Linked DNA regions of Drosophila melanogaster. The protein of the gene in region 2 interacts with the protein of the main gene of each other region in a pairwise test. Each region holds a gene or a part of one and is shown on either strand. Other genes may lie near its edges.

What was found. The genes of interacting proteins can lie anywhere in the genome.
Region 1: the proteins of sala (region 2) and CG7044 interact in a two-hybrid assay, tested with the Drosophila melanogaster proteins (one large-scale study listed by BioGRID).

The regions. Positions count from the first base shown.
Region 1 is NT_033777.3:21,097,721-21,103,375, reverse strand, and holds CG7044 (uncharacterized protein), read left to right. Parts: upstream 1-1,657; 5' UTR 1,658-1,803; coding exon 1,804-1,927; intron 1,928-1,997; coding exon 1,998-2,181; intron 2,182-2,241; coding exon 2,242-3,586; intron 3,587-3,650; coding exon 3,651-3,855; intron 3,856-3,913; coding exon 3,914-4,086; intron 4,087-4,153; coding exon 4,154-5,047; 3' UTR 5,048-5,147; downstream 5,148-5,655. Other genes in the region: Tbc1d22 (TBC1 domain family member 22), read right to left, coding at 458-653, 715-1,099.
Region 2 is NT_033779.5:11,482,925-11,487,474, reverse strand, and holds sala (spalt-adjacent), read right to left. Parts: upstream 2,769-4,550; 5' UTR 2,444-2,768; intron 2,295-2,443; 5' UTR 2,261-2,294; coding exon of another isoform or gene 1,748-2,260; 5' UTR 1,721-1,747; exon of another isoform or gene 1,692-1,720; intron 1,394-1,691; 5' UTR 1,266-1,393; coding exon 1,254-1,265; intron 1,184-1,253; coding exon 767-1,183; 3' UTR 526-766; downstream 1-525. Other genes in the region: CG43355 (uncharacterized protein), read right to left, coding at 1,748-2,260. UniProt on the Drosophila melanogaster protein: Likely to be involved in the establishment of the head.

The DNA.
Region 1 (5,655 bases), on a different chromosome or scaffold from region 2:
TCGGTCTTAGTTCCGCGTCTCCCGACATTGCTCTGTGGGAATAGCTGGGAGTGGCTATCAGTTAAGAAAGTGAAATGCTTCAGGAGCGGTTGCCAAGTTGGTGTTAATACTCGTTAAAACGTGGCGAATGGCAATAATAAGTTAGGAGCGCCCCAATGATTAACAACATATATAGGTAATTTTAACCTAATTACATAGTAATATTGTATATTGTATATTGTAAAGTACCGTTTCAAAATTTGAATCTATTGTAAGTATTTCAACTCCCATATGACGGAATTCTTCATATCTTTAGTTTCTACTTTGATAATAAACACGTTAATGCTTTTTAAATAGCACCTAGGAAATAATTCAGAAAGCGGGTTCGATCCGCTCTACACCCCTGACTTATTTGCACAACTGCAGGCATTGGGTTCAACTTTCTTTTTGACTTCCCAGTTGAGTTGGCGCCGCTCACCTGTTTTCATTACTGTCCGGCAGAGATCTACGGTCTTCCTTGCAGTCGTCCGTCGAGCTACTGCTGACTGGGACCAAATCTGCGCCACTTTCGTTTGCTGACCGGGATGCATTATGGTTCTGGTTGCTTCGAGAGTGCGTCTCGATCACGTTGAGAGCCACCGTCTGCGACACTTGCCGGGAGAAATGAGCCGCATCTGTTGGGGGATCAAAACGAGATCAGAGGTTGAGGAAAACCATCGGGGTTGCGGAACCCACCGCCAGCTCCAACGGCCGCGGCAGCCGCCTCCGTGCTGCTGATGATGCAGAACTCGTCGTCACCCATGTCCCAGGCATCGCTCACCGACTTCTGGTACTCGGTGAAGGTGGACACCATGCCAGATCCGGGGGCAGCGCCGCGACCGACCGCTACCCCAACTGCCGCCGCCTTCTCGAGCTCCCGCTTGGGACTGGGTCGTCCGGGCACTCGACGTCCGCTGTTTTTCCAAAAGGTCGAGGAGTTTGCGCCGGGCGTTGGTCCGGCTCCACTTGCCACGGTTACTACTGCTACACCTGCTCCTGCTGTTCCTGTTGCTGCTGCTGTGGACTCGGCTGTTTCAGTTTGGCTCTTTCCTGCTAATTGCTCTACATTGTTATCCATCATACGTTCCCTAGAGCCGATTCTATGTCAGCGTCATTATATTATTTTGCATCAAAAACAGTGTGACCATGGCAACTATTTACGGCTTTCACCGCACGACACTTCTTGGTAGTGATGAGAGCGTATCGTGATCAAGTGACTGGTGCGAAACCGAACCATATTGATACCCATTACTTGTGGAGAAGAGTGAACCTAGTATAGTTCCGACGAGTCGATCAAGAGATATAAATGATTAAAAATGAAAACTCGTAATTCAAGACATTTTTCTATGCAAAAGCTTTTAGAAATATGGAAAAAAGGTATGTAATTAAAAAATATTTAATAAAGACCGTAATCTTTGAGGTATAAACATAACGAAAATGTTTTGTACAGAGTTCTTCTTTCTGCAATATTAAGTAGTATAATTAGGTAATTTTAATTAATGGTAGTAATGGTATTACTTATTAGCAAAGAATAAAAGGGAAACTATGCACCGTTATATGTTTCGATGCGTGACTTTGACCGCTCACCTGGCAACCCTGGCGAATGCGCTTTGGATTTCGACTGCAAACGTACACGGCCACTCAATACAAAACAAGTGTCTTTCGGTGTGATAAGAACCAGAACCCGCAATCAACGATTTCATTATTCGGTGGATCAATTGCAAGCTCCAAAACTATGCCATAAGGGGCAGTCGCCATTTAAGCAGTCAGTGTGGAAACAGCAAGATGCAAAAGCAAGAAGAGACGCTGTCGCGCCTGCGAACGATATTCGACATATTTTTACGCGAGAACTTTTCCACTACGAACAATGTTTACTTTGAGAAGCTCCTCACGCACTTGCAGGCCAAGGGTGAGTTTACCAATCGGAGTGGCCCCGCAATCTGCCCTTAAATCCTCAAATGAATCCCATCTGTCCGCAGAGAATGCCTTTGTGCTGCAGGCCCCATTCGTGGTGGAATGGGTGGACAGGTGCATCACGGCGGTGACCGAGGACTTCAAAAAGATCCACCCGAAGGTGATATCCTTCATGCTGAATCTGACCAGTTTTCTGGCGAACAACGAGTGGATGATCGTGCGCCTAAGAGAGCTTGATATAGTAAACAGGTAAATGGTAGGATAGAAAACCAGGCTCTAATCTCTTAAAATAATCGACTACCATTTTAGAGCAGTGAAACTACTACAGAGGGAACACAACTTAAGCCCATCGATTAAGTTAGGTGGCATACGTCTGATGAAAGCCATCACCGTGTATAGCATGGGGCTGGCCTTTCTGCGGATGCACCGGATCTGGACGCTGCTCATCCAGTATTCCAACAACGATCACACGCTGTACGTGGTGCGGGAGGCCCGCCAAGTGCTTTACAACATGGTGTACAAGTCCTGCGACAAGCTGCACGATAAGGCTGTTACCCTGGAGATTCTGTCGGAGATTATGCAGCCGATTCACGACAATCTTTATAAGAACACCGACGGCGTGGAGCGCATCCACGTCAAGGTGGACGACAACGAGATGTTGCACAAGATCTCGTCGACACTGGATCTACTGTCCTACATACTACAGCAGACGCTGGTGCTCGAGGAGCGCACCACTCTGATCATCCTGCTCAAGGAGCATCACGACTTCGAGATTACCGTTTGGAAGCTGATCGATATGACCCACAACCCGTACTTTACTGAGAAGATCTTCACCACACTGAGCAGCTACAACTTTGCCCTGCTGTTGCACGAAAAGTTGCTGAATCCGAACGCCACCGAGCCGTCGGAGGAGTTCACCGAGTTCGGGTTGGCATTCTTTAATCTCATGAAATTCCTTATTACCCGCAAGGACGGCTTGAGTTTTGTGAAGTTGGCGGAGCTCAATCATGTACTTTGGAAAAAACTTGGACCTCGTGCGCCCAAGGAAATTGTCATCCAACAAGAGCGCGTTACGTTTGAAAACCAGCTAATCTGCTTTCACATGCTGCCGTTGCTCTTCTCCATGAAGTACGCACAGAAGATCGCCGACGAGGAGAGCAAGATAGAGCTCTTCGACGCCTATGTTGTCAAGTTGCTGGAGATCTCCTGCGAACAGACCTTGCGGCTCTGCTACACAATGCGGGACAACTTCTTTTCTGCAGACGGCATGGCTGTTGGCTTGGTGACGGCCGGCCTGGCAAACAAGTGCATACATAGCCTGTTGGCCCTGGAAAACGTTCTCGATCGAGAGCAGGCGGTTACTGTGTGCCAAGCTTTGCTATATGTGCTCCGCGAGGCAGTGGCCATGAGTGTCATCACAAATAATGGGGAGGATGACTGTCACAGCGTGAGCAGCGCGGGCAGCTCCTACCTAAAATTGTACCCCCGGGGCACCGAACAGGTCGTTAACGATCCACAAGTTTTGCATTCCGTAATGGTGGGTTTGCGCACCTTGATCGAACGCTTTAAGATCACGTGGAAGGAGTCGGTGGAGACCATTGGCCTGGTCAATTGTCTGGCATTTGTCCTGGAGAACACAAGCATGGATGCTAGGGTAAGCAAAACAAACTCTCATTTCTAGCGGGTTAAAATAGTAAAATGTGATTCTTCATTTGCAGTGCACTGTCCAAGCGCTGAAGCTCGTCCAACTCGCTGTGGAGCATTTCCTTTCACCGAACATGGCTCTTTTGGTGGACAACTTGCAGGGCTCCGCGCTGGTCTGTCTGGGTCCCATTATTGTGAAGCGAATGCACGACACAATGTGGGAGGTGCGTGACACAACGCTGGAGCTTACCACCTCTATAGCCAGTATCTCCCGCATCAGTAAGCGTGTGATTATCTTAACGTAGTGCCTAACATTAATGATACGTTGCTTCTACAGAGTTTCCCGCCTTCCAACGCTTTCTAATCGACTCAAAGATACCCCCGATAGTTTACGAAATGGCCAAGAATGACTCGGAAGTCTATGTAAGAGCGTCTGCCTTCCAGTGTCTTTCCCAAATGGTCTCCATAAACCTTTTGTGGGAGAATGGTCTAAGCCAGCTCGATCTTGTAGTGAGTTAATCTATTTACACATATACTCGGAAAAAATTATTAATTAAACACTTTGAATTCTCGACAGGACCATCTTTTGTTTGTAATGTATCGGGAGACCAACGATATCGTGAGATCCGAGGCCGTGATTACGCTGATGAAGATCTACGAGCACCGCAAGATCCACGAGAAGTACAAGAACACCCTCTTCTCAACCCTCAACTATTGTGTAATCGGGGATCATCACACGGAGGTGAAGCTGAATGCTTTAAATTTTTGGCGCCGCGAGTTCTACCGCCAGTTTAGCAATCAGGGCATGATAGATGGCTCTTTTCCCACAGTGACCTTCTCTAAGGAGCAGAAGAAGATTGTCACGCTGACGGAGAAAGAGATCCAAACCAGCATTGCCAAAGTTTTTGGTGAAGTACAGCAGTACGGATATTTTGGCATCCTACTCAAGTGCCTGCGCGAGGAGACTTCAATGGAGGTTTTGGAATTCCTCATTAAAGGCGTCAAGACCATGACGGAGAAGTTCGAGCGCTACAAGGGCATAATGGAGGAGATTGAAATGAGATCGCCGCTCTCAGACAGAGAGCGGCCAAGATTCGACTTCCCGTCCCAGCCGCAGCCAACTCCGATTCCACAGCAGCCACCGGTCAATCCCACCGAGGCGGACGAAGTCATCGAGTCCATATTGAACTCGCAGGATGCACAGCTCCTGGAGAAGGCGTTTGAGACCCAGATGCAGATAAACGCGCAAGGGAAAACAGCGGAGAAGCGGCACATCGATGAGTTCTACTATAAGCAGTTCGCGGTGCCATTGCGGCAGTTCTTTGAGGAGCTCAAGACCATTGACCTGGACCAGTTGGTTAAGCAGCACCAGGAGTGGTTCGAGTGCAAGGAGAACTTTACCTCCCTGCTGGATGACATCCTCGGTGCGCTGAAGCGCGACGATGAGAACATGATTTCGGACTGTTACTAATTCCGAGCTAAGCCGTTTTCCAGTCAAAAAAAACCTCTCTGTGAAGTAAGCTAAAAGTTTTTTCCGTGAAATAGATAATATTTTTGATAACTACGTTTTGAACATAAAATGAGATTTTATTTCGCCGGCGCAGATAAAATAAATAACAATACAGTAACAAAACAATGTTTTAAATGACTAAACATATTTCAAATCAAGACGACCCATATTTAAACGTTTTTGTTCCTTTTTTTAATTTTTGGTGTGCTGGTCACACTGTTCGCGTCGTGTTTGTTTTGGTTTTCTGTTGGTGGTGACACACTTTTAGAGCGATGTGAGCCGAGTTTTTATCGATGCATCCATAAGAGAAACTACTTTTTACTTCTTACAAAAATGTTGTATAAGGTAGATTTGCCAATTTTTAAAACGCAAAAACCCGAAATATAGTAAACTTCGATATTGATAACTTAGCCGATATTATCGTATGGTGTTGGGAATCGATAGTGCCGGCACCGAGCCTTCCCACTATCGACGAGCCCATCGACTGCAGCACATCTTCAGCGCATAGATGCAGCGAAAAGCGGATCGTCTCGCGTTCGAATTTGCACGCACTGCTGCATAAATATTAA
Region 2 (4,550 bases):
GTGAAGTAAATGGCAATAAAGGAGAAAAATTAATTTTATCCTTTCCATTTCCGTTGTTGCGCGCATCAGTGTGTGTGCGGTTTTCCTTCTCACTCTTTCCTTGGCCGTGTGGGTGGCAGTTTTTCCCGCACATTTTTTTTAGTTTTCTTCAGCTTTTGCATTATTTTAACGTGTGCTCTTTTTTCCCACCCTCACCTCGACTCTATTTTTTTTCCTTCGTTATAAATCTTGAGGTTGAGCACTCGACTGGACGCCATTTTTTATTTTTCACCTTCAGCCCCCACCCACCTGAACCCCACCCTTTACCATTCCCTCCCCATTCCCCCTTTTAGTCGGACGTCGCTTATTTTTCAATTCTGTCAGCTGCTTTGGTCAGAAAATGTCGCTTGGGAGCGGTCGACGGCATCCTTTTCTCCGATTGCAAAAGTTGAGATGGGATGTGTGGGGTATATATGCTTGTATGCTATCTGCAAAATAATTTATAGATGCCTCAACCAAAATGGACAGAGTAAAGGGTTCCGTTTCCTTATTTACTTTTTTATTGAGACTCCGTTTTTTTTTTCATTTTAGATACTGAAATTCAAGAAGGCACGTTGTATAGTGGATCTCAAGGGGGTTTTAGATAAAGAATCACTTTTACAAATCAATTCTGGACATTAGATACAATAGAGACTTCAGAAACAAGCAAGTGTTTCTTAAGAATTTACGGTAGAGAACTATAGCATTACATTCCTTTAATTTTGTCATGGGTATTCTCATATTTGTACTAATGTCTATGATGTCCATGATGTTCGTGGTGTCCATGGTGCTCATGATGTTCACGGTGATGATCGCCATGATGTTCCGGATATTCATGAGGATTTTCGTGAAAATGACCGGACTCAACTGGATTAGTTCCATGGAAATGGCCAGATCCCACAGGACTTCCGTAACCAGGCTGATATTGGTTTGGAGAACCTTGTCCAGCGAATCCTCCTTGACCCGGGTGGACTCCGCCTTGACCAATTCCCACCTGGCCACCAACTCCACCCTGTCCAGTGAATCCTATTTGTCCACCAAAACCTGCTTGCCCGCCGATTCCTCCGAATCCTCCAAATCCTCCTTGCCCTCCATATCCTCCTTGTCCAACTTGGCCGAATCCATTCTGAGCGTTCACAGCGGTCACCAGTGCAAACAGAGCAATCTATAGTTATAAATTTGTTATTATAAAAATATTTCTAAGTTAGTTAAGATTTCTATAGTAGAAGACGCACCAGTAGTTTCATCGTGGCTGAAGTTTCGGTACTGAGGCGGCTCTAATATTTTTTTGATTTTTATACCACGATTTGGTAATATCAAGTAGGTAGCTGAAAGGTATTCTACCTGGCTGAGGGACTTAAGTTTGAGTCTCTACCTGTAAAAGGAAATCACAGAAAAGTATTGCCGTCAACATCTGGTTACGATGGAAAATAAAATAAACCAGTTTATTGGAAGAGGGAAAATGGAAAAACAGAAAAATCCGGAATTGAATAGAATACTAATACTAATTCAGTACCATATTGAAATGACGGAAATATAAAGGAGTTTTTAAATTATTTGTTTATTTATATTTATTTATTTGATATTTGAAAAGTTTTTATCAACATAACATTACTCGATTTTTTTGATCAGGAAAATCCGGATAATATAAAATCATTAATAAGACATTACTCAGATACAAGATATAACATAGTGACTTTACCTTTTTTGAAACATTTTCTACTGTTGTCTAAATATCAATGATTTCGTATTTATTTTTTCCAGGTATTTCATCAGTAGGAACTTCGCCACCGGGAATTGGAGATTGGAAGCTGCCATGCTGATCGTCGTTTGAGGTTTCGTTGTGAGGTCTTTCGGTACCAGGAAATCCACTTTGAGGTGGACCGCCTCCTGGGCAACCGCAATGCGGACACCCTCCTGCTGGAGATCCAGATGGTGGGGGGTGGTGTGAAGAAGGAGGCGGAGGTGGCGGAGGAGGATATCCCTGCCAATGGTGGCCACCATACAGATATCCCCCTGGTGGTGGATAATGGGGCGGTGGTGGAGGTGGACCGTATCCCTCCCAAAAGTGACTTCCATGTCGATGGGGGCGATGAGGCGGTGGTGGAAAAGGCTGGTGCTGGTGTCCGTGTCCACAGCGTCCACCAGCACCATGTCTGCCACGATGGTGATGATGGTGACGAGGGGGAGGTGGACCTCCGTGTGGGTGATGTCCTCCTCCAGAAAATCGCCGACAGCCCATCTGATCGAGTCTCAGATGAATTTAGAGCAACGATCTGAAAAGATGTATGACTAATATTTTTGAGAACAAGATGCATTTGAATCTTTTTATATGCAAAAATTATTATATATGTTTATACGTCCGTTGTACATACATATGGTAAGCTGATAAGAATATTTTCTATGTATATATTCATTGACTTACATTTTTTCCTATTTCTATCTTAATGGAAACAATATACAGTAAATAAATGTTTGTTTTGCAACTGGTTTATTTTAGCGTACTTATTAATACGTCATTTATTTGTTGCTTTTAATAGCTAAAACAAGTTAGAATTCGATTTGTTGACGCAGTGGCCGAATTCATTGATATATATAAGTCTGGATATTTTTTTCTCTATCAATAAATATTTTAAAGAATAATTCCTAATACAAGTAAAGGCAAAAAGAAAAACCAGCGCACAATTAATTGCTTTGAATTTTGTTGTTTTGAACACAAGAATTGGATCAGCTGCTTAAATGTTATTTACAATTTAGAGTGGCATTGTATTTGGTTGCCAAAAAATAATATATAGGTTTATTTTTGGAAGAGTTGTTTGTTGATAACATATCGCCGCCAAAAATACTACAAGTTCAAATGCTTATGAGATTAAAAGTAAATTCGGAGGTGAAAAGCAACCATTTAAATAAGCAATATTGTTAAACTTTAAAACTGTGAAAATTATATTTGATTATCTAATTACATTTTCAATCTATCTCTTTATTTGTGGAGTCTAGTGATAACCAAAGAATTAAACAACTAAATCGTCTTAATTTCCGAGAAGCTGCTTAGCTATTATTATGCCTACGCTTGCCTTAAGTATTTATCCTTGAGTAAGGAAATCCTTCTGGGCGGAAAGAAAATCCAGCGGCATAAAGTTATGTGCCCAGGGCCAAAATTTTAATTCCAAATTTAATTTTCAGCCATTTTCCTCATTTTCCCCGGATGAATTTGTCAGGGCGTGTCGCATTCGGAAACCACTCGCCGGGGAATGAAGTGGAGACAAAGACATCTCGGGAAAAGGAAACATTTTTTGGCTTATGCCAAAATTACATCAAAAAGCGCTGCGGGTATGTAGGTATGTAGACAGACGTGGCAATTCCCATCTTAGGATTGAGTAAAGTGGCAAAAGGACGAGGGGCAGGCTGGAGCTGAAGGATTGCTGAGCCTTGGAAGTGGCAGGGAGTGAATGTCGTGAAGATATGCCAGGACCCTTGGAGAAAAGTTGAGCGGACCGAGGAACAGGGTTTGGTGATTGCTATCTTCATAATGACTTTGAAGTGTCAAACAATTTTGGGGAATTATCAACGCCCGCCTCGTCTTTCGCAAAGGTGAAAATGAAAATTGTACTTTTTGTTTGACTCAAACTTGATGGGGCCAAACTGAAGATATAATTATAATTTAATTGAAATGAAATTGTCGCTTAAGTCGAGTAGAAAAGGAATGGTATTGCGGCATTGGTAGACTCCAGGGGTAAAGCTCTCAACTTAATATTTTGCTGGCTAAAAATTTGGGCAGATGCGAAATACTCTTGGCTGAGCTGTAAAAGTGAGTCAATAAAATACACAACTATTTGCGCACCAATTTAATATGCCACATAGGCAAGTTAAAGGAGTTCGCCCAGCTCAAGTTTTCCGAGGGATGCGACAAAATACATTGGGTTGACAGAAGCCCATGAAGGGCCAAAAAGAAAAGCACACCGAGTTTCTGAACAGGTCCGAACAATGTCCGAGGAAAATCAATTTAATTTTTACTCATGTTCATGGCGTGACCCCTCGATAATCCATGGAAAAGGGGACGAGGTCGTCCTGCTGCTGAGCCGCCTGAGGTGGAAATTTCACTTAAGTCACTTTCAACTTTCGCAAGATGCCATCAAAGTTGGCTCCAAAGTTACTGGTCAGTTGATTTTTCCACCTCCTGGGGCGGCGGCCATTACCACCGATATTTACATTTTACCCAACCCACGGGGAAAACCTTTTCTCGAACACGATCTCCCCCAGCGCTCTCCAAACTTATGAAAAGTTTCGGTGAATTTGCGATAATGCTTTTTTTGGCTGGTGGTATATACATTTAACTTCAGCGCACGTGTGTCAGCTTTTCATCATATACTCTTCACAATTTTCAAACCGTGAAGTGCTTTTTCATGAGACCAGAAGAAATGAGTAAAGTTTTTTTTTAAAATAATTTTTTATATATTTTTTATCCCAAGAGCTTCAAGTTCTATTATAATGCCCAAAAATGTAACGTATGTTTAAGTTAGTTCATATACGAA